7 linked regions of the Cricetulus griseus genome follow. The protein of the gene in region 2 purifies or fractionates together with the protein of the main gene of each other region. This does not show direct contact. Links are inferred from orthologs where the notes say so. Each region holds a gene or a part of one and is shown on either strand. Other genes may lie near its edges. The genes, in order: Ilf2, Igf2bp3, Ybx1, Fus, Trim25, Ddx5 and Hnrnpa2b1.

The links.
Region 1: the proteins of Igf2bp3 (region 2) and Ilf2 purify together in Homo sapiens (affinity purification with mass spectrometry; 3 studies listed by BioGRID and IntAct, counting the BioPlex papers as one, with this or other methods). This does not show direct contact. The link is inferred for Cricetulus griseus from reciprocal best matches to the Homo sapiens genes IGF2BP3 and ILF2.
Region 3: the proteins of Igf2bp3 (region 2) and Ybx1 purify together in Homo sapiens (affinity purification with mass spectrometry; 3 studies listed by BioGRID and IntAct, with this or other methods). This does not show direct contact. The link is inferred for Cricetulus griseus from reciprocal best matches to the Homo sapiens genes IGF2BP3 and YBX1.
Region 4: the proteins of Igf2bp3 (region 2) and Fus purify together in Homo sapiens (affinity purification with mass spectrometry; 3 studies listed by BioGRID and IntAct, with this or other methods). This does not show direct contact. The link is inferred for Cricetulus griseus from reciprocal best matches to the Homo sapiens genes IGF2BP3 and FUS.
Region 5: the proteins of Igf2bp3 (region 2) and Trim25 purify together in Homo sapiens (affinity purification with western blotting; 3 studies listed by BioGRID, with this or other methods). This does not show direct contact. The link is inferred for Cricetulus griseus from reciprocal best matches to the Homo sapiens genes IGF2BP3 and TRIM25.
Region 6: the proteins of Igf2bp3 (region 2) and Ddx5 fractionate together in Homo sapiens (co-fractionation; 3 studies listed by BioGRID, with this or other methods). This does not show direct contact. The link is inferred for Cricetulus griseus from reciprocal best matches to the Homo sapiens genes IGF2BP3 and DDX5.
Region 7: the proteins of Igf2bp3 (region 2) and Hnrnpa2b1 purify together in Homo sapiens (affinity purification with mass spectrometry; 4 studies listed by BioGRID and IntAct, with this or other methods). This does not show direct contact. The link is inferred for Cricetulus griseus from reciprocal best matches to the Homo sapiens genes IGF2BP3 and HNRNPA2B1.

The regions. Positions count from the first base shown.
Region 1 is NW_023276806.1:64,071,091-64,074,590, forward strand, and holds part of Ilf2 (interleukin enhancer-binding factor 2), read right to left. Parts: intron 1,734-3,500; coding exon 1,629-1,733; intron 1,143-1,628; coding exon 1,065-1,142; intron 763-1,064; coding exon 660-762; intron 1-659. UniProt on the Homo sapiens protein: Chromatin-interacting protein that forms a stable heterodimer with interleukin enhancer-binding factor 3/ILF3 and plays a role in several biological processes including transcription, innate immunity or cell growth.
Region 2 is NC_048601.1:92,237,672-92,241,171, reverse strand, and holds part of Igf2bp3 (insulin-like growth factor 2 mRNA-binding protein 3), read right to left. Parts: intron 2,897-3,500; coding exon 2,761-2,896; intron 979-2,760; coding exon 853-978; intron 1-852. UniProt on the Homo sapiens protein: RNA-binding factor that may recruit target transcripts to cytoplasmic protein-RNA complexes (mRNPs). This transcript 'caging' into mRNPs allows mRNA transport and transient storage.
Region 3 is NC_048595.1:32,884,212-32,887,711, reverse strand, and holds part of Ybx1 (Y-box-binding protein 1), read right to left. Parts: intron 2,119-3,500; coding exon 2,029-2,118; intron 1,677-2,028; coding exon 1,374-1,676; intron 1,029-1,373; coding exon 946-1,028; intron 1-945. UniProt on the Homo sapiens protein: DNA- and RNA-binding protein involved in various processes, such as translational repression, RNA stabilization, mRNA splicing, DNA repair and transcription regulation.
Region 4 is NC_048596.1:72,806,552-72,810,499, reverse strand, and holds the start of Fus (RNA-binding protein FUS), read left to right. Parts: upstream 1-1,148; 5' UTR 1,149-1,260; coding exon 1,261-1,273; intron 1,274-3,191; coding exon 3,192-3,216; intron 3,217-3,346; coding exon 3,347-3,501; intron 3,502-3,948. UniProt on the Homo sapiens protein: DNA/RNA-binding protein that plays a role in various cellular processes such as transcription regulation, RNA splicing, RNA transport, DNA repair and damage response. Binds to ssRNA containing the consensus sequence 5'-AGGUAA-3'.
Region 5 is NC_048600.1:102,138,288-102,142,349, reverse strand, and holds the start of Trim25 (E3 ubiquitin/ISG15 ligase TRIM25), read right to left. Parts: upstream 2,801-4,062; 5' UTR 2,717-2,800; coding exon 2,132-2,716; intron 1-2,131.
Region 6 is NC_048600.1:119,726,984-119,729,526, reverse strand, and holds the end of Ddx5 (probable ATP-dependent RNA helicase DDX5), read left to right. Parts: exon of another isoform or gene 1-915; coding exon 916-1,140; intron 1,141-1,332; coding exon 1,333-1,739; 3' UTR 1,740-2,043; downstream 2,044-2,543. UniProt on the Homo sapiens protein: Involved in the alternative regulation of pre-mRNA splicing; its RNA helicase activity is necessary for increasing tau exon 10 inclusion and occurs in a RBM4-dependent manner. Binds to the tau pre-mRNA in the stem-loop region downstream of exon 10.
Region 7 is NC_048601.1:89,866,113-89,870,154, reverse strand, and holds the start of Hnrnpa2b1 (heterogeneous nuclear ribonucleoproteins A2/B1), read right to left. Parts: upstream 2,801-4,042; 5' UTR 2,587-2,800; coding exon 2,581-2,586; intron 1-2,580. Other genes in the region: translation initiation factor IF-2-like, read right to left, coding at 3,414-4,042. UniProt on the Homo sapiens protein: Heterogeneous nuclear ribonucleoprotein (hnRNP) that associates with nascent pre-mRNAs, packaging them into hnRNP particles.

The sequences.
Region 1 (3,500 bases), on a different chromosome or scaffold from region 2:
ATTATTAGCCCCAAATCTAACCTCAATGTTTAGGAAAGTAGGCTGGAGGCTTAGAGGTTAAGAGTACTTTTTCCTCTTGTAGAAGACCTGGGTTCAGTTCCCAACAGCCATTTGGTGGGTCATACCATGTATAATTCCAGTTCCAAGGGATCCAAAGCCCTCTTCAGGCATGTACATGGAATGTATAACACTCATACAAGCATAACACTAATAGAAATAAAATAAAGGGCTGGAAAGATGGCTGAGTGGTTAGGAGCACTGGCTGCTCTTCCAGAGGTCCTGAGTTCAATTCCCAGCAACCACATGGTGGCTCACAACCATCTGTAATGGGATCTGGTGCCCTTTTCTGGCCTGCAGGCATACATGAAGGCAGAGTACTATATACATAACAAATCTATAAAAAAAAGATAAAGTAAATCTATACCAAGAAGGGTGGGCTGAGAACTCTACTAAATTCTGACTTACACAGACCTAACTGTTTTTATAAGCCCATCTGCTCTTGCCACTGCATAGATACTCAGAGAAAACTCAAACCTTCTGAGGGATCCTGTGCTCTCAGGCGTCCCATGACAGGCTAACATGCCCAACACCACGATCCACCCCGACAGAGAAAGACCAGATGCGCGCGCGCGCGCGCGCACACACACACACACACTCACATGTTGGCAGGATCTTTAGTATCACCACCAAGTCAGCTACATTGTGTCCTGTCGTCATCGTCCCCTTTTTATATGATCCAACCTGTCGGACTTCTTCAATTTGCTGTTGAAAAGGGGATTTTAGGGACATTTAGAGAAACAAAGGTAGAACTATTTCAGCAGCTTCTTACTACCCAGATTTAGAAGCAGCCACGACAAAATCCCATCCCCCAAACAACCACATATGACTAGACCAGTGATACAAATCTCATCCTCAGGATGAAGAGTTCCAGAATGTCCCTGTACTTTTCCATTTGGGGCTTTGATTTGGATAACAGACAACTGGAAATTTGACAGGCAAAGGACAAGAAAATTTCCATACCACCAAGGGTGCCCTTACTTAGGATTAATTCATCAAAAACTCACCACTTCAAATGTCCCTGGAGCCACAATCAAGTTGTCAATCACATTGTTTATTTTTGTCACCAAAGAAAGGATAGAAGCCTGAAAACATCACAAAGCAAAAATACCCTAAGGCCAAAAAGTACACAAAACAACATTTTTAATCTGTATCATCACTAGACTCTCCACCTACAGTAAGAAGGGGGAATGAATAATTAAACACAGGAGGAATTTGAGCTCTGAAAACACTCTTGATAGGAATGAAACCCTAGCCCTCAAGAGTGCTAGGTAAGCGGTCTACCACTGGCTTACAATCCTAGCAACACAACATTTTATTAGCTCTTTTTTTTTTTTTTTTTGTAATTGTATTTCACAGGCACATTGGTGTTTTGCCTGCATGTATGTTTATGTGATGATATCAGATCTTCTGGAACTGGACTTACAAGACAGCTGTGAGCTGTCGTGTGGGTGCTGGCAACTGAACCCAGGTCCTCTGGAAGAGTAGCAAGTGCTCTTAATCTCTAAGCCATCTCTCCAGCCCAGCTCTTAATGCTTTAGGCCTTAGCACAGACTCAGGAAAGAACATACCTGCTCTGCAGAATTGGGGGCAAGGTCCTGATTCCTCTTCAGCAAGGCTTCACTGAAGGACGTTTCATCAGGTGCGGGCTTGACCCGAGGAAAAGCCATTTCACACTAAACCAGAAATTAAACTTGTTATTTACCAAAAATAATATACAGATTTTTTCTGATTCTCAAAAGAAAAAAAAAATTGTTATATACTTATAATCTCAGCACGTTGAAGACAGAGGCAGGAGAATCAACAGTTCAGCACCAGCCTGGGCTACCTGAGACCTGGTCTCAAAAATATATAAACAAGACCCAGTGAGATGGTTTGACAATAAAGGCCCTGGGTTATCAGTTTCTGGGACCCACACAGAGAACCAAATCCTGCAAGTTGTCCTCTGATCTCCACACATTTGTTGTGGTGTACATGTGATGACAAATGTAATAAAAACACTTACTACTACTACTTGTTTTTTTGAGACACCATTTTTCCTCTGTGTAGTCCTGATTGTCTTGGCACTCACTCTGTAGACCAGGTTGGCCTTGAACTCAGAGATCCGCCTGCCTCTGCCTCCCGAGTGCTGGAATTAAAGGCATGTGCTGCCATCTCCCGGCTAAAATTAGGCCAAGTGATAGTGGCATACATCTTTAATGCAGGCATTTGGGAGGCAGAGGCAGAGGCAGACTGATCTTTGTGAGTTTAAGGCCAGCCTGGTCTACAAAGCTAGTTCCAGGACAGCCAGAGCTGTTACACAGAGAAACCCTGTCTCACAAAACCAAAAAAAAAAAAAAAAAAAAAAAAAACTAAATAAATAAAAATAGGGCTGAGATGGGCTGGAGAGATGGCTCAGAGGTTAAGAGCACTGACGGCTCTTCCAGAGATGCTGAGTTCAATTCCCAGCAACCACATGGTGGCTCACAACCATCTGTAATGAGATCTGGTGCCCTCTTCTAATGTGCAGATATACATGGAAGCAGAATGTCGTATACATAATAAAATATTTAAAAAAAAAAAAATAGGGCTGAGGAGATGGCTCAGTGGTTAAGAGCACTGACTGCTCTTCCAGAGTACCTAGGTCCAATTTCCGGCATCTACATGGCAGCTCACAATAGTCTGTAACTCCAGTTCCAGAGGATCTGAAACCCTCACACAGACACAAATGCAGGCAAAACACTATGCACATAAATAAAATCACTTAAAAAATAATAATAGGGACTGGAAATCAGGTGTGGTGGTGGTCCACGCCTTTAATCCCAGCACTCCAGAGGACACAGATCTCCATGAGTTCAAGGTCAGCCTGATCTCCAGAGAGTTCCAGGCAGAACAACCCAGGCTATAGAGAAACCTTGGCGCCCCCAAAAAGGAGGGGGGCCTTGAGAGATGGCTCAGCAGTTAAAAGCACTTGTTGGACTTATAGAGGGCCCAGGTTCAATTTGGAATACCCACATAGGGGTCACAACCACCTATGAATTCAGTTCCAAGGAATCCGACTCCCTCTTCAGCCTCCACTGGAACCAGTACTACACCTGTGCATGGTGTACACACATAAATATACTCACGCATCCCTCATCCCCCACCCAAAATTGTGCATTTGATTCTGTTTTTCCATCTACTCCATTTCACAGACGTTAACACCCAGCTTGCAACACTGGCTTTTAACTCCTTCAGATGTTCAAGTCCAAATATAAATAGGAAGAACCTAATTCAAGTTCTCATTACCTTGTTGTTCTGTTGTGTTATTTTTTTGATACTGGGTCTATTGTATCATAGGCTGGCCTGAACTTGCTATGTAGCTGATGCTAACATTAAACTTATCTTCCTGCCTGGGTCTCCAGTTGTGCTTGGATTACAGGTATATACCACCATACCTAATATGTCGTCAGGGATCTGTACAT
Region 2 (3,500 bases):
CAAACCAACTCATCCTAACACAGGGTTTCCCTGTTCCCTCATAAACTGTCATTTGCCTATGGGCCATGTCTGTCTCCTCTCTATCCAGAGGCAGTCCTTTGTCCCTTGGGGCAAGTATCTCTTTTCCCTTGCTCCTTTTCTCTTTTCTCCTGTCTTTTTCTCTTATTTCCTGCCACTTGCCCCTGTGGGGAAAATAAATCTCCTTTGTCCTGAGAACTTGGTCTTGGTGGCTTAAGCTGACACCATCCTTTCAACCATAACATGAGGAACTGTGTCAAATGGCTGTAGCATCAGGACGGCTGAGAACCACTGTTCTAAGAAAACCAGCCTTGAGCCCAGTACTGAACCAAAAGATAAAACACACTCACCAAACTATTTTTTTATTGTCGAAATGACACATTTGCACAACTCTACCAATCCCCAAAACTTCAGAACAAGCCAGGCTTGTTATTTTGGGGTCCAATTAAAAGTTTCTATTGGAGCTGGAGAGATGGCTCAGCGGTTAAGAGCGCCGACTGCTCTTCCAGAGGTCCTGAGTTCAATTCCCAGCAACCACATGGTGGCTCACAACCATCCATTATGAGATCTGGTGCCCTCTTCTGGTGTGCAGATATACATGGAAGCAGAATGTTGTGTAATAAATAAATAAATAGATAGATAGATAGATAGATAGATAAATAAATCTTAAAAAAAAGAAAAAAGTTTCTATTGACAAGTGCTACAAAGCACAGACGAGCTCCACACAGGTGACACATCATACAGCATACAGTTTGGCATGAACATCACACCATTTAGCTCTGACTGTAGCAGGACTGCGGCATAAGGTCTGATTGCAAGGGCCAGAGTGCTTACCTCAAATTGTGGGTAGGGAGGAGTCATAGTTGAAGGTGGCCCTGAGGTAGGAGGTGGCATCCCTGAAGTGGGTGGGAACAGACCCAAGGCATTCAGATTCAATCCAGGGATCAAATGTGCTTGAAGCTGCAATGGTAAAAAGGTCCCTTAATTTTCAATCAGAAGTATGGAGGGAGTGAGCATTTATAAGTGACAGTATTCATATTGTGACCGCTTGTCTAATAAAGAAAAAACACCACACTAAGACTCCTTTTTGAACACAGCAGGCGTTCCCACAGAACTACAGGTGCTGTTCACACCTCTCAGCATCGTTATATTGAGGATTTGTCTGCCCTGCCTTGATCCTCAAAGGGCAGCAGCTCAGAGCACTTGAGACAGAAAGGCGCTCTGCATTCTGTGGGCCTTCCATGGCCACACCCTGGAGGTCTTACATCAGCTGAAATGTGAGTGAGTGAGGTGTGCTTTCTGGAGTCACAGGTACACAGAACAAGCCTCGTAAAGATCTTCATGCCTCACCCTCTAGTCTAATCCTTCAAAACTCAGGTCTCCTCTTCTTCACACTGCAAGCACACAACTAAGCACACCTTTGGGGTGGATACAGGAGCCATAAAGGGAACACTGTTCCAGTTTAATCCACCCCTCCCCTTTAACATATGTGTGTGGTGTTTTGTTTGCTTGTATATCTGTGCACCGTGTGCATGCAGTGCTCACAGAGGCCAGAAGAGGGCGTGAGATCCTCTGGAGTTGGAATTAAGGATGTTTGTGAGCTGCCCTGTGGGTGCCTGGAATCAAACCCTGATTCCCTTGGAAGAGCAGCTAAATGCTCCTAAGCACTGAGCCATCTCTCCAGCCCTAATTTTATAAGAGTTGAAAAAGGTGGAGAGTAGGACTGAACTGGAGTGTATCTATACCGTTAACAAGGCCTATGGGGGTAGATTAATTCCCAGTCAGCTATGAAACACTTAGATAAGCAGCAATCATGTAAAGATGGCAGGCTACCATGTGGGATAAAGTGACAGCATTCTAGGTTCTTCACAGTCCTTTCCCAGGTTACTGTTTCATAGGACAGGCTCAAATGAAGTCTGCTAAATCATCTCCTCATATTTAAGGAGCACCTTTTTAGAAGACAGACTTTCGAAGTGTTCCGTTGTCAGCACCATTCCACCCATTAAACAGTGGCAGGAATTTGCTTTTGTAGCCTTCACTACATTTGCCACACGAAAATTTCAATTTCCCAGGTTATATGGCCAGCACAGTAAGATTCAAACCTGGGTTTCTGCTTTGTTGAACTATTCTGCAGAGTAGGAGCTGAGGCACGCTAGGCAAGCACTCCAGCACAGACACTACTCTCATCGTCCTGAACCTGGATTATCATGTTTAAGACATGGTCCTTCTAAATCACTCAGGGTGGCCTTGAACTTGCAATCCACCCACCCCAGCCTCCCAAGTTTCTGGGCTTGCTTCACATCGCCTGGCTCTTAAGCCTGTTTTTCTAATGGTAACTTTTCCATGCACGACACTGTAACCCTAAGAAGCATGTAGAACAGGAGACAGCAGCTCTCTGATCTGGAGAAGAAAGCTGCACGTGGCAGGAAATCTAACTAACTCATCTCCCTCCAGTCCTCACATCCTTCCTGCACCAGGGCCTCAAATTAACACAGGGAAGGAGGTAATAAATAACCTTTGGGAGGCATGTACTAATCTCATTCCTCCTGCATCAAGAAGCCAAAGGCTCAAAAGCTATCTAATTTGTCAGAAATCAGAGACAGCTAAGCCCAATGCCCAGGCTTCTGTGTTACCCAGGGTATGTGGGATGGTGCAGACAACTCATTCAAATCACTTCCCACGATAAAGTGAAAGAGCAGCGCAGCAAAAGCCATCTTTTACGTCTCCATCATCAGTACTAACATTCATGGATGCGATGTCATTTTCATAGGACTCCCTGATTTTCTTCATTATCTCCTCCTCAGCCCTGGCACACGTCTCAACATTGCCTTTTACTGTAATGGTGCGCTCCGGGTTGTACAGCGTCAGCTCCTGCAACCTGTGGCGGGAAGAGGAGAAGCGACAAGGACGACAGGAGGAAGGTGGGTGAGTATCATTCAGCCCCAAATGGTACCTGAAACCAGACGACAGAGCCTGTATCTTGAGAATGTGACGGATCAAACCCCAAAGACCCAAGTCCAAGATCTGTAACAACTTCCTTCCCACTCTCTCAATGACAATGACTGGGCACACGGTTGCACTACACTCGTGTTTTAAAACACAGCTTACTCTTTTTTTTTTTTTTTAAAGGTTTTTTGTTTTTATTTAATGTTCATTATCGTGAAGGAATCAGATCCCCTGGAACTGGAGTCACAGACAGTCTCCGAGCTGCCATGTGGGTGCTGGGAATTGAACCTGGGCCCTCTAAAAGATAGGCCAGTGCTCTTAACCACCGAGCCACCTCTCCAGCCCCGTGACTTATTTCTTGACCACTTCATCTCACCCTCTAACATCGAACTGAGGAGAGTGGTCAGAAGGATGTATGATGCTCAGGATGCTCCTTGTCTGGACTGGCCAATTCTAAGCAGAACCAGCTATCTTGTGCACTTGCATTTTCTGCAGTAAGCCAGAGAAATACTTCCCAAAAGCAAATCAGCATTTGT
Region 3 (3,500 bases), on a different chromosome or scaffold from region 2:
GTGGTAAAGTGCTGGGCACTGGTGGCAGATGCCGGAGGCAGAGTTCAATGCCAGTGTGGCTACAGAGGCAGGGACACAGAGAAGCTTGAAAAACCAAAAACCCAAAAAGCTGGGTGGTGATGTTCGTTTGAGTACTAGCACCAAGGACAGAAACCCAGTCTAGCTCAATTAATGAGCTCCAGATCCAGTAAAGACTCAAAAAAACTAAGGTAAATGATTGAGAAAGACACCCAAGGATGACATACACAATACACTCACCGGTGAGTCCTATCTGTCAGATAAGTGGTCTTTGGGTTCAATCCCAAATTTGGGACAGGGTGAGAAACTGGCTGATAATATAAACACTCCATGGATGTGGAGCACTAGCTGTTGCTGCATAGTTATATAACCTCATTGGGTTCTCTAACTCCTAAACCTTCCTCTAAGTCCAGCAGATCCAGCTTTGCACATGAAGCCTTTCCTATTATTCCAATAGCTCCTATTACCTCAAACACCACTACACAGGACTTTCTATTTATTACCCTCACCTTTCTCCCTTCCTAAGTAAGCCATGTTTAGATACTGTCATTTGAAATACTCTTACCTGTTCGGGGACAGAACCATATACAGTAGATTTCAACTATATAAGCTGTGACTATAAAAGCAGTGACAAAGCTGGAAAGAACACATTTCTCAGCCAGGCACTGGTGGCGCAGGCCTTTAATCCCAGCACTCAGGAGGCAAATGCAGGCAGATCTCTGAGTTCCAGGCCAGCCTGGTCTACAGAGCCCAGGACAGGCTCCAAAACAGAGAAACCAAAAAGAAAGAACACATTCTCAAAGACTACTCACTTCAGGAGCACTTCTTATGCATCAGTGAAAGAGAATGAAGTATTAACTCACGATGCTGGAGAGGCCTAACATCTGGCTGAAGAATGCAACAGAAACAGGTTACGATGGACCATACCTGCGGAATCGCGGTCTGTAACCCCGATACATATTCTGTCTCACTGGTCTACCTTGCTCTCCTGCACCCTGGTTGTCAGCACCCTGAAAAGACATCAGAAGACATTAGAAATTAAAGTCTATTGGGTCCACAACAAGAACAAAATCCCAATCTGAAGTTCAAACCAGAAAACACTTTCCTGGCCAAATTCCAATTCCTGAGTACAAGATATCTAATAATTATGATCACACCATACATTAACAAGCTTGGTGGTTTCTTCATAATCAAAAGTGCATTCTGTGGTAACAGGTTAATTTAGGGGAAAATTTCCACGATTAAGTTAAAATAGTCTTTCTCAAAGGCTGTTATAAGGAGTATGTATGGTTGGTGCTCACTCAGCACTAGCCCTGAGACAGCAAAAATGCTGTTGCATACATACTGGCACTTACCTCCATCACTTCTCCTTGCACAGGAGGGTTGGAATACTGTGGTCGACGCCCATAGGGTCTCCGCATGTAGTAAGGTGGGAACCTTCGCCTACGATAGGGCCGGCGTTGTTGGGCTTGCCCTTCAGGAGCGCTTTCCGATCCCTCGTTCTTTTCCCCACTCTCACTATTCTGGTAATTTTGCTGGTAATTGCGTGGAGGACCCCTACGACGTGGATAGCGTCTATAATGGTTACGGTCTGCTGCGTATTTACTGCCTTGAACTGGAACTCCACCAGGGCCTGTAACATTTGCTGCCTCCGCACCCTACAAAAGCCATTATTTATTGACAATAACAAAAGAAATCCAAATATTCAATAAATTTCACTCAAGCTGGGGAGGGGGAAAAAAAAACAAAACAAAAAACCCAAGAGCAAACAAAAAAACGAGGGAGGCTGTCTGCATGGGAAAGGGTGCATAGGAATGACTGCGTCATCAGCTCCTCACTCTTCTGAAGGGACTGTTCTCTAACTGCAGCAGCACGTTAGGCTTGATGCACCTGTGTTCATGTGGTCACCAGAACACATCATCCATCCAATTAGAGCCACCATCCTAATGGATGAAATCTCCAAATTATTTCCATACCGAAGTCAAACCTTTACACAAAAAGCATCCTCACCTTTTCTCCTTCAACAACATCAAACTCCACAGTCTCTCCATCTCCTACACTGCGAAGGTACTTCCTGGGGTTATTCTTCTTTATGGCAGTCTAGTAACATCATTCCAAAAATAGATTAACAGGGGAGAAGAATGTGCTTTTTTCATTTAAAATGTACCAGCGTCAATATCATTTTTAGCTTGGATATATACTTAAAATTTGCTTTATGTAAGACCAAACTGTCAATAATTTAGGAAAGCAGGGACCAATGTTACCTTACCCCCAACCTCTACCAAGAGACTCCAATCTTACAAGGCCCCAGCATTTTACCACTATTTACAAAACTAAGTAATTTAGTACCCAAGACAGACAACAATGTGTTTTAATATACTTTTTGCAAAAGCATCACATATAAAGCTTGGAACAAAATAAGGCCTCCATCTATCCCCCAAAGACTGCACTTAATAGAAGCTAGCCCGACACACGGCCAGTTTAGATGACAGGCAAGTTTAGTTTTACATGCTTCAACTTTGACCATACCAACTCTTGTCCCTTTACCATATCAAACTCAATTACAAATGTCAAGCAAAATCCCTTCCAGCCTGTCTATAATGACTACTTCCAGGGAAATGCATTTCACATGTATCTATGCCACTCGTATATATCTCTCTCTGTAAGAGACCTGTTGGTTACCACCTCCCCAGAAAACAGTTAAGTCTTACATTATATAGGGCTTAAAAATTATGAAGTGCCAAAGGTCACACAGCTATTAAGTGGCAGGGAACTTTTCTAAATCCAGGTCTTAGGACTCCAAATCCCAAGTTCATTCCACATCACAGCAGTATCCGTTACAGGATCACTCATGCATTTCTATTCCAGAGGAGGCCGGACAACCAACAAATCTGAGGCCAATTAAGATCCGGTGCCCAGAACTGCAGTCTACTTGATACACCACCACAACCTCGTAGCCAAAGTCCCAAGAACAACTCTATGTTGATACCACTTGCAAAATAAATAGGAAAGCATATTGGTGACACCTTATGGGATAAGACTGGGTGAGTTGAGTCAAATAAATGATCTCATCTGTCATCTGAACTGTCGTATAGTTTCATACCTTTCATATGTAGCCAACTCAATTATTTGCAGTCATAGGGATAGTAGAAGTATGCATTAAAATCCCCAAACATGTTAGTCACCATCTTTAGCCCCTTCCAATCTCTCATGGCTATCAGTGGCAGCAAGACTAATAACCCTTGCTGTTTCTTGTCTGTTAAATCTTCATTTTATTTCCAACTTGTAGTAAGTACAGGTAAGAGTCACCTTACCCAAACAAGCATTTTAATTTAATCTTTGCTAGGTCTTTTGGTCTCCCCCCAATTAAAAAAAAAAAGAAATAAAGGGGGGAAAAAAAGGTTGAAAATTCTTAAAATAACTTTCAACACAAGTGGATATTTCAACAAGTTGATCACGTGGAAGCACACAGGAAGTGAAGT
Region 4 (3,948 bases), on a different chromosome or scaffold from region 2:
GCCAGTGCTCTTAACCTCTGAGCCATCTCTCCAGCCCCCTTGAATTACATATTTGTCCTTTCCCTTACAAAAAGTACACAGGCTTTTAAATGCTCTAAATCATTTCATGTAGTCAAGAAGCATTTTGTAGTTTCATAGATTTAGATTTTAAACATCAGAAGGTCTGACCCTGAACTGCCTTACACTCAGGGCAAGTTCTTAGTCTTGGGTTTTGAATGCACTCATTAAAATCCCAACCCTACTCACAGGCACCTCTGCCTGGATCGGGCCTGGAGATGTACTCAGGGTCACGCACCGGCTAAGCAATCACTCTATCATTAAGCTACATCCCCAGACTTCATTTGCAGCAGACAGATACATTTATTTTCTTTACAAGATGATGATGGGGAAAACCAGGTCGACTGTTAATACTAGAATGCGTTGCTTTAAGGCAAAGAGGATCATGAATTCGAGGTCAGCTGGGCTGTGCTGAGAGGCAAAAAATAAAAAATAAAAAAGGTGGGAAATTGTGGGTTTCGAAACCACTTAAGCGGTAGACATGTTAGTGTTGAACCAGACTAGGCTATGGGATCCAGGCTAAAGCCCATATTCCTTCAGGTCAAACGTCACAATCTACAAACCTTGGTAAGGTCTAAGGAACAGCAAGCTGGGGCACCGCTAAGTGAAAACCGAGAAAAGGGACAGAGACTGATCATGCTTTCAGGAGAGAATGTGGAGAGCCAGAGCGACCACACTGCGTTTGGCTTAGTTGACCGGCCAGGGCAGGCGGAAGCACGCTCTAGCCAGTGAAAGTGGGGCCCAGCCGAGGGGCCCCGTCAGAGGAATTTCGGTTCCCACACCCGGGGACTCCAGGCCTCGACTACAGTTCTGCGTTCAAGCTCAGGGCCCTGGCACCGCCCATAGCGGGAGGCTGGATCGTACCATTATACCTTTGGAGGGGTAGGAGTGCGGCGAAGCCGGGCCCCGGGGGGAGGGCGGATGAGAGCTAATTATCCTCAAGATGACAGTGCATGCGAGGACATCATTTTCAAGTGAGTTCCCTTTTCTTTTGTCTCTCTGGGTCCTCTACTTCCTCGGGAAGGGGCAGGAACCCGGCCGCGCTCCCCCCTCGCGCCGTCCCACTTGGTACGTCCGCGGGGCGCGTAGGCGGGAGGCGTACTTAAAGTCGGCGCGGGAGGCGGGGCTGCTCAGTCCTCGCGGCGTCCCTTCGCAGTCGTCTGGAACCCTGTTGCTTGGCGGCCTGTGCGCGCGTGCGCGGACATGGCTTCAAACGGTATGTGAGGGCGCGAGGCGGCAATGGCGCGTCCCGGGGAGCCTTCGTTCCCTCCCAGCCAGACTTTTGAGTTTTCGGTGGGCCTGTGGTGGCGTGCGAGTGTGGGCTCCCGCACCTCTGTGGCGGGAAGCGGCGGGAGGAGGGCAGGGGAGGGTGGTGTCGCCATTTTGTTTGGCTCCTGTGGCGGCCTTTGGCGCGGAGTCTGAGGGCTCTCTGGGCCCTTCGACTCGGGGAGGGTGTGGAGAGGGACGCTGCCTGGCGACGTGGAGTGAGGGGAGAGGAAGCGCCAGGTCTCTCTAGCGGCGCCCCACCCCCTCCCTCCCGGCCTGCCGGGCCCCGCTTTGTCGCAGTGCTGCATCCGGGCACTTGGCGCGCGCACGCGCTCCTCTGGCCCCTCCCCCTTTCTCGGCGCGGTTTTTCCCCCTCGCCCGCCTCGAGTTGGTTTGGATTTTTTTTTTTTTTTTTTTTTTTTTTTTTTTGTCGCGAGACCCTCGGCGGAAGACTGCTGGTCCGGTGTTGGCCTCGCCCTGCTCCCCGGGTCCCTCGGGAGGGGGCGGGGCTGTCCTGTTCGCGCCTCCGGGCCGGAGCGAAAACGCTCCCAACTGGCCCGCGTGTCCGTGAGGTTGGGGAAAATGACGAACGGACTCAGGGATCCGGCCTGAGGGCTTTCCCGTTTCTGAATTTAGTTTTCCTGAGGCAGGAAGGAAACCAAAGGAGTCGCCTTCCGAGGCCACACCCTCTTGGCTGTCATTTTTTTTTTTTTTTTTTGCCTCCTGCGGGGGCAGACCCTGGGTTTCCTGCTCGAAGCCGAGCTACTGCTTACCGTCTTTGCTTCTCCATGCGCACGATAGGCGGGAGCACACTCGCTGGGAGCCACAGGTCTTGGAGCCTTGAGGCTACTTAGGGTCAAAGAGCTTTGCTGCCTTGTTTGGCTTTGTACTAAAACTCCCCTTTGCCTTAAGGTCTCCGAGGTTAGTCACAAGGTGAATGGATTTTTTTTTTAAAGGCATTTGTTTGGTGTTGGAGGGTCACAATTCTTCAGACTGCTTGGACTCGAACGGTGTGATAGCTCTGTGACTGTACAAGTTAATCTAATGGACTCCATGTGGTGTGTGTTGCAGGCCTTGGAAAGGCCGAGACGAAAATTTTTAAAGTTCAGGGACCGTCTGTGTTGTATTTTGAGACTTTTTGAAGAAAAAAATTGAACCGGGTGTGGGGGCACATACTGCTTTGATCCCAGGAATAGGGAGGCAGAGACGGGGATTTTTTGAGTCTGCATGGTGAGTTCCACATAGCTTGGTCCACATAGTGAGTTCGGGGGCAGTCAGAGGTATGTAATAGAAACTCCTGTCTCAAAAAAATCCAAAAACAAAAATTTTGACTATAAATACAGAAACAGTCCCATGGCAATGTTTTTAGATAATAGTTATCCACAGAAATATTTGTATGGTGCCTTGGACTGGTGTCACTGGTAGCTAGCTTAGCATGGCCCAGGCCCTGGCTTCTACCCAGAACAAAACAGAAATCTAAGACTTATTGGTGTCTAGGAATTTGTGTCTTTGCTTATTGTATTAAAACTTGTATTCAGTTTGCTTTCCTCACAACTGGTGTTTCATGAAGGACTTAATGCCTGCATGTTTTTGCAATGGCATTTTGTAGATTTAATGTGATCTGGAGTGCCTCGTACCTCTTTTTTTAAAGACAGGGTTTCTTTGTGTAGCCTTGGCTGTCCTGGAACTAGCTCTCCTGTATGTAGATCAGGCTGGCCTGGAACTCAGAAATCCACCTACCTCTGCTGGGATTAAGAGTTTGTCTCATCACCACTCTTCTTAGAGTGCCTAGTACTTAAGTTGAATTTAATTCTATTCCAGTCTTAACTAAAATTAACATGACTTTTTCCCCTTCTCATCTTTTACAGACTATACCCAACAAGCAACTCAAAGGTGAGTGTTGTTTCTGGGCTGGAGTTTGTAGGTGGTAAGGGTGGTCAGTGTAACTTGTGTTGTTTTTGTATGCTTTTTTTCTTTCAATTGAAGATAACTTTTCTGATCCTCTCCCCCTCCCCCCTCCTAGCTATGGGGCCTATCCTACCCAGCCTGGGCAGGGCTACTCCCAACAGAGCAATCAGCCCTATGGCCAGCAGAGTTACAGTGGCTATGGCCAGTCAGCTGACACTTCAGGATATGGCCAGAGCAGCTATGGTTCTTCTTATGGACAGACCCAAAACAGTGAGTCTCTTAGTGGAACAAATCTTCATTCATTTTTCTTCTGAATGTTAGTAATTGTTCTTAAACCTGAACAGTATTGAAAATCTCCTATTTCCCCTTGTCAGTCTGTAATTGTTAATTTCGTGATTAGTCTTTTTAAAACAAAATGGCTTGTAATTGTCTCTTTGTTAGATGATTTCCCCCATATATTCATTTTTGTGGAAAAGCAAGTTTCCTAAAGAGAACCAGTTTTAGGGTGGAAGAAAATGATTTGCTTGAAAATTTTTGAAGTTGGGCCGATACATGTGATTCACAAAGAGATGGTATTTGCCCTTAGATTCACAAGGGCAAAAATACTGTCCATATCAGCACATTAAAATTCAGCTAGTAGTGACCTTTTGTGCCATGATTACTGGCATGGGGAACCTGGATTTGGGATAGATAGAGTAACATGCCAGGTGGTTGGTA
Region 5 (4,062 bases), on a different chromosome or scaffold from region 2:
TTTTCCGTAATTTTTATTACATTTATTGTGTGTGTGTCCATCCACACACATCCAAGACCACGTGCATATGGATATCAAGTCAAAGGACAACTTGTTGGAGTTGGTTCTCTTTCCAACCCAGGGATCAAACTCAGGTGGTAGCCTTGGTATCAAGTGCCTTTACCAGCTGAGCCATCTCGACGGCCATTTGTTGTTTTGAGACAGACTTTCACCCTGGAGCTGACCTAAAACTATGTAGCTCCAGGCTGTCCTCAGACTCATGGTGATCTCCCTGTCTGAGCTTCCCAAGCACTGGAATTACAGGCATGAGTCACCCACCACACCAGCTTCGCCCCCTGTTCACTATAACCTGTAACCATTGTGTACCCCATTTTATCATTTTGCATCTAGAAGCTACAAGAGGGATCAGGATTTAAACCCATATCTTAGCACTGAATCTAGTAGGAGCCTCCCTCATAAGCTCCAGGCCTTCTATCATGAGATCCTGACTCCAAAACACTTCCCAGGAGGCCCAACCTACCCAGAGATCTGCAGTGACTTGCATTAAGCCAAACAGCTCTGTGGGAGCAAAGCAGTGCCCCAGGCTCCAAAGGCTGGGCAGACTTTCTTCTAGAACAGATACAATCGGAGGTGTCCATACCCTCATGGGGTGTACAGCAGAGGTGAACTCAAAAGATAAACCTTTGAGATCAACTGCCACAATTGGGGGGTCGGGGTGGCAACCTGAGGAACCTGGCTAAGACCCAGGCAAGGTCAGGGAAGGGCTGTGGTAAGAGGGAGCAGAGTTGGGATCCCATTCCTGGCATCGATTGCAAAGCCTGCCAACCTCACCCAGACTTATGATTCCTTTCACAACATTGGGACAGGCCTCAACTTCCCAGACATTTGATAGTGAAATGAGATCAGGCCACACTTCGACAAATGTGGCAGAGGGGCAGCTTCTGCCGAGTCCACTGGGAGAAGACAGGAGCCTCCAAACCTAAAGCTCCTAAAATCATTGCAACCCTGGAAGGTCCTCAGGAACTCTGACCTCTCTCTCCCCTCCTGTCTTTATCAAGGTGGACCTAGGTGGGGAGGCTAAATCCTTGCTCAGTTTCACACAGCAAGAATGACTACACTAGCCAGGTGTGGTGGAACATGCCTTTAGTCCCAGCATTTGGGAAGCAGAGGCAGGTGGGATTTCTGTGAGTTAGAAGCCTGCCTGGTCTACATTATGAGTTCCAGGACACCCAGGACTAACTGCATAGTGAGACCCTGTCTCAAAATGAAAAGAAGGAAGAGAGGGAAGGAGGAAAGGAGGGAGGGAGGGAAGGAAGGAGGGAAGGAAGGAAGGGAGGAAGGGAGAGAGAGAGAGGAAGGAAGAAAAAGATGGACTACACCATGGTGCAACAGTACTGGTTATCTTTGAAGGTCATATGCAGGAATTCCTGGGGCTCTGCCCACCCTCCCTGTCCATTAGAACTCTCCGGATCAACACAGGCTTCTGCTTACAAACCTCCAAGAACGCTCCCTGCTCTGGACTCAGCAGACATGGTCTACAGAGGAACAAGAAACCAGAACTGTGAGTCAAAGCAGCATGGTTCCCAGCTCTGACGGTTTGGACTTAATGACTGCATCAGCGTTGCTAAGCTAACGTCTCTGGGCCTCTTTTCCTGAACTGTGGAAAGAACTAAGAGTGCACAGTTCTTGCATGCTGCCAGGATCTGGGAGACGTAACCCCCAGGGTTCATAGTCAATATTCAAAACTACTAAACACCATCGTACAAACGCTGGCTTGGGGGCAGGCTCCCTTAAGCCGTGCCTTCGGCTGTTTGCTACGTAAAATAGACATGAGAGAGTTGGGGAAAGAAGGCAATGGGCAAGAGGGGGAGCTATATAATCTTCCTGCTTTCTGCTTGGTCAGTGGGGATACCGCCCCCCAAAACACACACCCACACACACACCACACTGTCCAACTCACAGACAGTGGCCTTTGGAGCCTAGGGCCATGAGGTTCTGTTAAGGGGTGGATCTCTGGCCCGGTAAAGCCTATCTCCTCCAGCAAGCCACTGGACAAGATACTCAGGGTGGGCCCTCTCTACAATTCAGCTGACCCGGGATGTCCTCTATACCCTCAGCAGCCATTCCCTACCTCCAAGTCGGCGCTGGCCTGGCTTAGGAGTGTAGGGGAGCAGGTCTTGTGCTCTACCAGGCAGATATGGCAAATGCACTCGCCATGTTCGGGGCAAAACAATTCCCGAAGGCGGTTATGTTGGGGACATTTGCGGCGCAGCAGGTCACGGACGGGCGGCTGCAGGGGGTGGTCCAGGAAGGCGGGACTGTCGAAGTGCGGTCTCAAGTGCTCCTGGCAGAAAGAGGCCATACACACGAGGCACGTCTTCACCGCGACCTCCTTCAGGCAATGGTCACAGGCCACCTCGGTGGCTGTAGCGGAGCGGGCAGGGGGGATCCAGTCGTCCACCGGCGTCCGTGCCTGCTCTGCTTGCAGAAACTGCTCTACCACCGCGCACAGCACCGTGTTCTTGTGCAGCTGCGGGCGCACCTGGTACACCGTGCGGCACTGCGGACACCGGTACGGCGGGCCCTGGACTTCCCACGTCTCATCCAGACACGACCTGCAGAAATTGTGGCCGCACGGGGTGGTGACGGGCTCCTTGAAGGGCTCCAAGCAAATGGAGCACGACAGCTCCTCGGCCAGAGGAAACAGCTCAGCCATCGCGCTCCTGGGGGCACCCGACGGGACGCACAGGGACAATGGCAAACACCACCGCGCGGTGCTCTGCAAGCGGCGAAGGAATCGAAACTGGACAGGAGGGGCGGCGCCCTGGGCTTTCAGGAAGTCACGTGGGTCCTGGGAGGGGGATGACGGGCCTCTGAGCTAGTGCTGGAAGCTGGAGGTGGGACGACAAGCAGAGTTCTGATGGTTCCCCAACCCCCGCGGGCCGGAGCGACCTCCGCATGACCACCAGTTACCGTTTCAGGGCCACTCCGCATGACCACCAGTTACCGTTTCAGGGCCACTCCGCAGATGAACTGTCGCAAGAGTAGGGGTATTTCTATTCCCCCAGTTGGGGCCTACGTCCTACCTGAGTGCAGCACTGCTTTGGAGAAGATTCATCCGTGCCCTAGGTGTCCCAACCGCCCCTCCAGAACAAGAAGGGTCTTATTATCCTCATTAAAATCAAAGCAAAAACAGAACAGAATACTGTAGACACAGAGCGCAATGGCTCACGCCTGTAATTCCCGTCACTTGGAATGCTGAAGCAGGAGAATTGCCACGAGTTGATGCCAGCCTAGGCTACACAGTGAGTGAGTGACTGTCTCAACATCTAAAACAGGTTGAGAAGATGTCTGGGTGGGAGAACTTGCAAATATAAGACCGCGGGGCCTAAATTCAATTACTGAAACCCTGGTTAAGACTCCATGAAATTAGCCCGGCTTTGGTGGCGCACGCCTTTAATCCCAGCACTAGGGAGGCAGACTCAGGTGGATCTCTGTGAGTTCGAGGTCAGCCTGTAAAGCTATACAGGGAAACCCACACAGAGAAACCATGTCTCCAAAAGAAGAAAAGAAAAAGAAAAAGACTCCATGAAATCGTCTTCTACCTACCTCCCCACCACACACACACACACACCAAATACATAATAAATAATTTAAGGAAAACAAAAACAGCAAAACACAATTATATGGGCAGTAAGTGACTGCTCTTTCCTTCCTTTCTGCTTTCCTTTCTCCTTTCTTTCTTGTTCAGTTCCCACTTCTTCCCTGGTCCTGGGCTCTGACTTATCACCAGGCAAGCCCTAAAGGCAGGGTCCATAGTCACACACTCAGATTTGGCAATTTCGTTTATTGATGGTACATGATTATTATCACAAAAGTGAGGCATCACACCCTTGCTCCAGCGACCCGTCCTCAAAAACAATTAAAAGAGACAAATTAAAAGAGGACAGCAGGAAAAGATTTATTCGCTGTGGCCACAAAGAGACCCAGTAAACTCCTCAAGTCCACTTTCCAGGTTCTGAAGTGAGATCGAAATTAAAAAGAGAAGGCAAAGATAACAAA
Region 6 (2,543 bases), on a different chromosome or scaffold from region 2:
ATGCTTTGCATGATTGCCATGGTACAGCATTGTTTCAAACTGTTCACTGTGATCTGTGGGTCTTTGAGTTTCAGTGAGTTTGCTGAAATGTCGAAGAAATATTTCCAAACTTCAATGTTCAATGAAATTTTTGTTCAAGTTTGAAATGGAGAGAGCAGCTTTAAAAGGTACTAAGCCTTTTACAAATTGGTGAGTACTGGCACATGAGACCTAGAGCAGCAGGGTCAACTTCTCACACATAGTCAGTGGGAAAAGAAAGTGCCTTGAAAAAGTTCCTCCCTCACCTACACAGTAGTCGTCATGTCGAGACCTGCCAGAGAGAGACACATTCTCAAGTGAATCCTGGCTTCTTGGAAGCGCTTGCCTAGACGAGACACAGTGCATTAAAACAACTTTTGGGGGACAGGTATGTTTTTCTTGCAGCTGCAGTTGTAAGGTCTTGGCAAGACAAGCAGTGTGGCCAGAATTTTGAACTTCTGATGAGTGTGATGCAAAGGACCTTGTACATTTTTCTTAAAGGTCCTCAAAAATGAGCACATGAAGAGGTTGCTGTGAAACTTTTAAGTGGCCCTACTGCGCAGAAGCACTCAGATGTCACTTGATGATCTGTAAGGGGACTTTGCCAATTTGGGAATGTGCTAAGGAGAATACACATTCCCTTGATAGGCTGTCAATGGGCGGGTGATAACTTAATACAGCTGACATGTGCTTTTTTTTTCTTTTTTCTGCCCCCACCCTCTTTTTTTTCCTACCTCAATGGTATTCCTACAGGAAATGGATAACCATTTTAACTGTATTTTTTGCAGCCCGTACCTTCTTGGGAATACAATTGTCTAACTTTTTATTTTTGGTCTGGCTGTTGTGGTGTGCAAAACTCCGTACATTGCTATTTTGCCACACTGCAACACCTTACAGATGTGGAAGATGTGAAATTTGTCATCAATTATGACTACCCTAACTCCTCAGAGGATTATATTCATCGAATTGGAAGAACTGCTCGCAGTACCAAAACGGGCACAGCATACACTTTCTTTACACCTAATAACATAAAGCAAGTGAGCGACCTTATCTCTGTGCTTCGGGAGGCTAATCAAGCAATTAATCCCAAATTGCTTCAGTTGGTCGAAGACAGAGGTTCAGGTAAGAGATCTTACAGGTAGTTGGGGTCACCTCATTGTCTACAAAGTCTTTTTTAAGTGGGATTGGTGGGGTAAGTAGTTTATGTTGAAACCTAAGATCTGAAAGAACACTTCGGCTGCCATGAGTAGAGCTACCTAACTCTAGCACATTTATGCCATAGATTTGATACATTCTCGCTTGCTTTCTTGACAGGTCGTTCCAGGGGTAGAGGAGGCATGAAGGATGATCGTCGTGACAGATACTCTGCGGGCAAAAGGGGTGGATTTAATACCTTTAGAGACAGGGAAAATTATGACAGAGGTTACTCTAGTCTGCTTAAGAGAGATTTTGGGGCTAAAACTCAGAATGGTGTTTACAGTGCTGCAAATTACACCAATGGGAGCTTTGGAAGTAATTTTGTATCTGCTGGTATTCAGACCAGTTTTAGGACTGGTAATCCAACAGGGACTTACCAGAACGGTTATGATAGCACTCAGCAATATGGAAGTAATGTTGCAAATATGCACAATGGTATGAACCAACAGGCATATGCATATCCTGCTACCGCAGCTGCTGCGCCTATGATTGGCTATCCAATGCCAACAGGGTATTCTCAATAAGACTTTAGAAGTATATGTAAATGTCTGTTTTTCATAATTGCTCTTTATATTGTGTGTTATCAGACAAGATAGTTATTTAAGAAACATGGGAAATGCAGAAATGACTGCAGTGCAGCAGTGATTATGGTGCACTTTTTTCGCTATTTAAGTTGGATATTTCTCTACATTCCTGAAACAATTTTTAGGTTTTTTTTGTACTAGAAAATGCAGGCAGTGTTTTCACAAAAGTAACTGTACAGTGATTTCAAATACAATAAATGAAGGCAATGCATGGCCTTCCAATAAAAGATATTTGAAGACTGAATTAAGTGGAAATTGTACTTTATTTTACATATATGATGTCATGTAAAACTTGGCTTAGATAGTATGTTTCGGGGGGATTTTCTTTCATTTTGGTGTTTTCTTTTTACACAAAAACTAAAGTTGACTACTTGCCATTCTTTGATTTAGGATTTAGGAGGTGAGAGAATCAAGAAGGCCCTTAAGATGATCTATCTCTAAGAATTGAGGGGCAGTGGGTTTTTTTTATAAATTTGTTAGTAGCTTTCAGCATCAGGGATAACATGGTGACTGTTCTATTTTGCAAAAAGTGCTGGCATACTTTATTCTGGACCAAAATGCACAAAGTTGAAAGACTGTTAGCCCAAGAACTGTGCGCTGTGTCCTTGGTGCAGCTTACACACAAAGTAATCTAGTCATCACCCATTCACCAGGGTTCCTAGAGCCACACTGGCAGTCAGGAATGTCTCCACATTGTTTCAGGGCATTTTAAAGGTCTTCAGATTGTAGGCTAGTCAGTACTCC
Region 7 (4,042 bases), about 2.4 Mb from region 2:
GGGGGAAAAAAAAAACTTACATCAAATTTAAACCATATGTTAAACTGCATATTAGTTGTGTTACACCAAAAATTGCCTCAGCTGAACTATGCAAGTTTTAAAGTCACTAATATTTGATCTAACTTTAATTCATATAAATTACCTTAGCTTACACTTTCTTAAAAACCTTTGAGAAAAACCATAACCAACTCTGATTTAAAGGGTATCAAAGAATTCTTATGAAATTCTTTATTAAAGTCTACAACTCAAGCACAGAACTTTGCTCAAACTTATTTTTTTAAATTGAAAAAAAAAAACCCTGAAATTTCGATATCCACTGCTTAATTCAGGATTCAATTTCAGAGTAGTGGCAGATCTGCCTTTCCTTAAACTGCCCCCCCACCCTGGAGTTAGACTAACTATTTCAATGGGGGATCCTTCAACTCTGAAAGAAGTTCCATGAGTAAAGTTGAACACCAGATATACGCACCACCTCAAAATAGTTTTCTTTTAACTTAGCAAAATTTATTCCATCTAATTTTTTGGGAGGCACTCCTTGTCTGGTGTTCAGGCTACAGTACTAAGAAGCACACATTTATCTACAGTTGCTATTGCCCCAACAGTTACTTTACATTTTTTTTGGAGCCTATCCTGGCACTCGCTCTGGAGACCAGGCTGGCCTCGAACTCACAAATATCCGCCTGCCTCTGGGATTAAAGGCGTGCGCCACCAACGCCTGGCTTAACTTTCCTTTTAGTAATTAGTGGCCTTCTGACAAATCTCTCAAAAATTTCCAATAGTAATTTCCTGAAGTAAATACTAAAGTTGTGTTATTACTGACTTATAAATAAAACAGCTTAAAAACCAAGATGCTTATAAACTGGGTAATACTATCCAGGACCTGTCTTGATTGCATAACAAACTGAAAAGACAAAATTCATAACACACAAAAAATTTCCACAACTCTTATTACAACCCAAATCTATTAAGGTTCCTTCAAAAAAAGTCTGTAAAAATTTTGTTCGATGCCCTTTCTCAGGTTCTGAAATTTGGAGAAATTGAGTAGACAAAATAGGTTAAAGATTAAAATAGGACGTGTAAAATACTTAGTATGACTGGAAATCCAAGTTTCCAGGCAATTCTAGATAAATGTCCACAGATGTGCCATCTTTAAATTCAAACTGTAAGCATAAACTTACCATTTTTAATGTCACTAACAAAAAGCAAAAGCTTATTACTTACCTCATAGGTTTTTCCAAACTTACCCGACGTCCACTATCGATTATAAACAAGGTTATTTTATAAACGTGCTTAGGGTCAAAGAATATAACCAAGTAGACCCCTTTAATTTGAAACCTTATGCTTATCAATGTAATAATCAACCATTTGCAAACATAAATCAGAAAAAAGCAAATGACAAAGTTCAAATACATTGTGTCCCAAATAAAAGTTTTTACATAGCTAGGTTCCTGCGTTAATACTGGACTGTTCCATGCTGTAATCAAAGGTGAACTACGAAAAGTTATTTTCTCTTCCCTAACGTGACCATCACGCGTAAAGATCTGTTGTTTTAGGAACAAATCCTGTGGTTCCCTTTAAAATCCTCATAATCTGAATTATTTCAAACATCAGGATCCTTCAGGAAAATAAACATACGCAGCAATAAAAAAATATCCCTCCGCCCAAGATCACCTTCTAACTACAGCTGAGCACTCTGGGCTTCCTTTTACAACTGCAGACTCACAAATCGCTTAATTAAAGGAATTAGGAGCCAGCTCGGGGAAGTAAAATGGTTTCTTTGCTGCAAGGCTGCCTTCAGCAGCAGGCTCAGGCCCGGATCGCACTCCTCGCCCGGGGCCTGCGCCGGGAACCCTTGCGGAGGCCGCCGCCACCCCCACCCGGCCGCGCACACCGTGTGGCTCGGGAGCGCAATGGCGCCATTTCGTCGAGGGGGAAGGAGGGCGGAGCGCCTAAAACGAGGTGCGCAGGACTCCGAGATCAGAGCTCAAAACACCCCAGATCCCCCTCGGAACGCCACCAAAACGGGCCGGGGACAAAGGAAACCAGCTAATGGCTCCCACGCGGGGGGGAAGGGGCCGAACGGGCAGAGCCGCAGAGTGCGGGACGCGAAAAACCGCTGCGAGCAAGGAGACGGGAAAATGGCGGCCGCCAAATCCGGTTCCCGGGGGGGAGGAGGGAGGGAGGGGGAGGGAGCCGCGCAGAGCCGCTCCAGGGGACCCGGTGGCCGCCCGAACGAACGCTCCGCCGCGCACACGCCCCGGGCCCCGGGGCCCGCGCACGGCCCGCGGGGGAACCAGGCCGGCCGGGCTCCCGCGCCCCTGCGGAGGACGAGCCGCTGGCCGCGGCCGGGCCCCATCCCCCACCCGGCTCAGGGAAATGGCGCCGGGCGGCTGAGGGCGGGGAAGGCGTTCGGACAATCGGGCCTCCGCCAACGACCCTCTCAGAGCCCCCGGGCCAACCGCCGCTCGGGCGGCCGCTCTCCCTCCCTCCGCCCGCCCGCCCGCCGCGGCGGTGGCCGGCTTCCACGGCGGCCTCGCCATGCCCTCGCCAACAACAACTCATTGATTTCAAACCCGTTACCTCCATCGCGGACTCAGTCGCTTCAGCCCGATTTCCCGCAGCCGAGCGAGATGAGAAAGACCTCCGCGGACGCACACGCACGGGACTCGTCCTGACGCTGTGGGGGGGGAAGAGCAGCCGCCGCTCGAGAAACCGCGCCGCGGGGGAAAGACCTGCACACAGGACCCGGCGCCGCTGCTACTGCCGCTGGAGCCGGGACCGCCGCTTTTCTAGAACCTTCCCCCCACTAACGCGTCTCCGCCTACGTCAGGCCGTTACGCAAACGTCCTAACCGCCGCCAATGGCGGGAAGGGCCTCGACACGCCTTTTGCGCCGGGTGCGTGCGCCCTCCCCCTCCCGGGATAGCGAGGCCGCGTTACGTCACTTGCGCAACCGCGTTTGGTGAATTGCGGAAGGCTCGCGCGCCCAACGTGTTACTACGTCCGGAGTGAGGTCCGGCCCTCCCCCCCCACACCTCCGCGCAAGGAGCCGGAGAAACGGTCGCGCAGTTTGAAATTAACGCTGCCGGGCGGGGCTTGCGTCGCCGCTCAGGCGTGAGGCCCTCGTCACCCCGGCCGCACTCCCTGCGGCGACGACGCCTTCGCCGATCCTCGCTGCGGGCCTCTCGAGGCGCGCCGGCCTTTGTTTGTTTGTGCCCGTCCCCCAGGGGGGGTGCAGTCCGAGCGCGGCTGCCGCGGCGGCACCCGAGGCCCTGGGACCCCCGCGCCCCGTGAGAGGCGGTGCTCAGAAGCTCCCCAGCCCCGCAGGCCCCGGGGCGAGGAGGTGGGCGGAGCCCGGCTTTGGCGCGCTGGGCTTTGACGCAGAGCGGCCTCGGCGGTCCCGCCCGCCTCCCCTCAGGAGACCCCCAAGGCGCCACGCCGCGGACGGTGAGTGGCGCGCACGCCGCCCCCCGCAGGACGCGTTCCCGGCGGGCCCCGCGCGGCCTGGGCGTGGGCGGTGCCTCCCCTCCCCTCCCCCCCGGCCGAGCCGCCCGCGCCCGCGCCCCGCGCCCGCGCCCCCTCCCCTCGGATGTGGCTGAGCTGAGGCGCGCAGCCGGGAGACTCTGCAGGATCCGCGCCCGGAGCATCTGAGCGGTGAAGTCGGTGCCTTGCTTTTCTGGTCGCGCGTGGCGCAGCGCGGCGCGGCGCGGCGGGGCCGGGGATGCTCCGTGCGCCCGGCTTCCCTGCGGGGAGGCTGCGGGCCCCCGCGCCCCCGCCGTGGGCCCCCGGGACCCGGGGCTGCTGCGGGGAGGAGGCTTGGCGGGGCCTGGCTGAGGCGCCGCCGCGCCGCGCCGCGCCGCGCCGCGCCGCTGCACGGGGAGGACGGCACAGTCGTGCCGAGGGTGGGAGAGCGATGACAGCTGCGGGGCCTCCAGACAAAGCGCGCGGGTCCCCTCCCCCAGCCGCGCCGCGGCCGGCGGGCGCGGATAACGTTAGAGCCGCCGCCGCCGCCGCGAGGCCCCAGGCCCGAGCTGCAGCGCGCT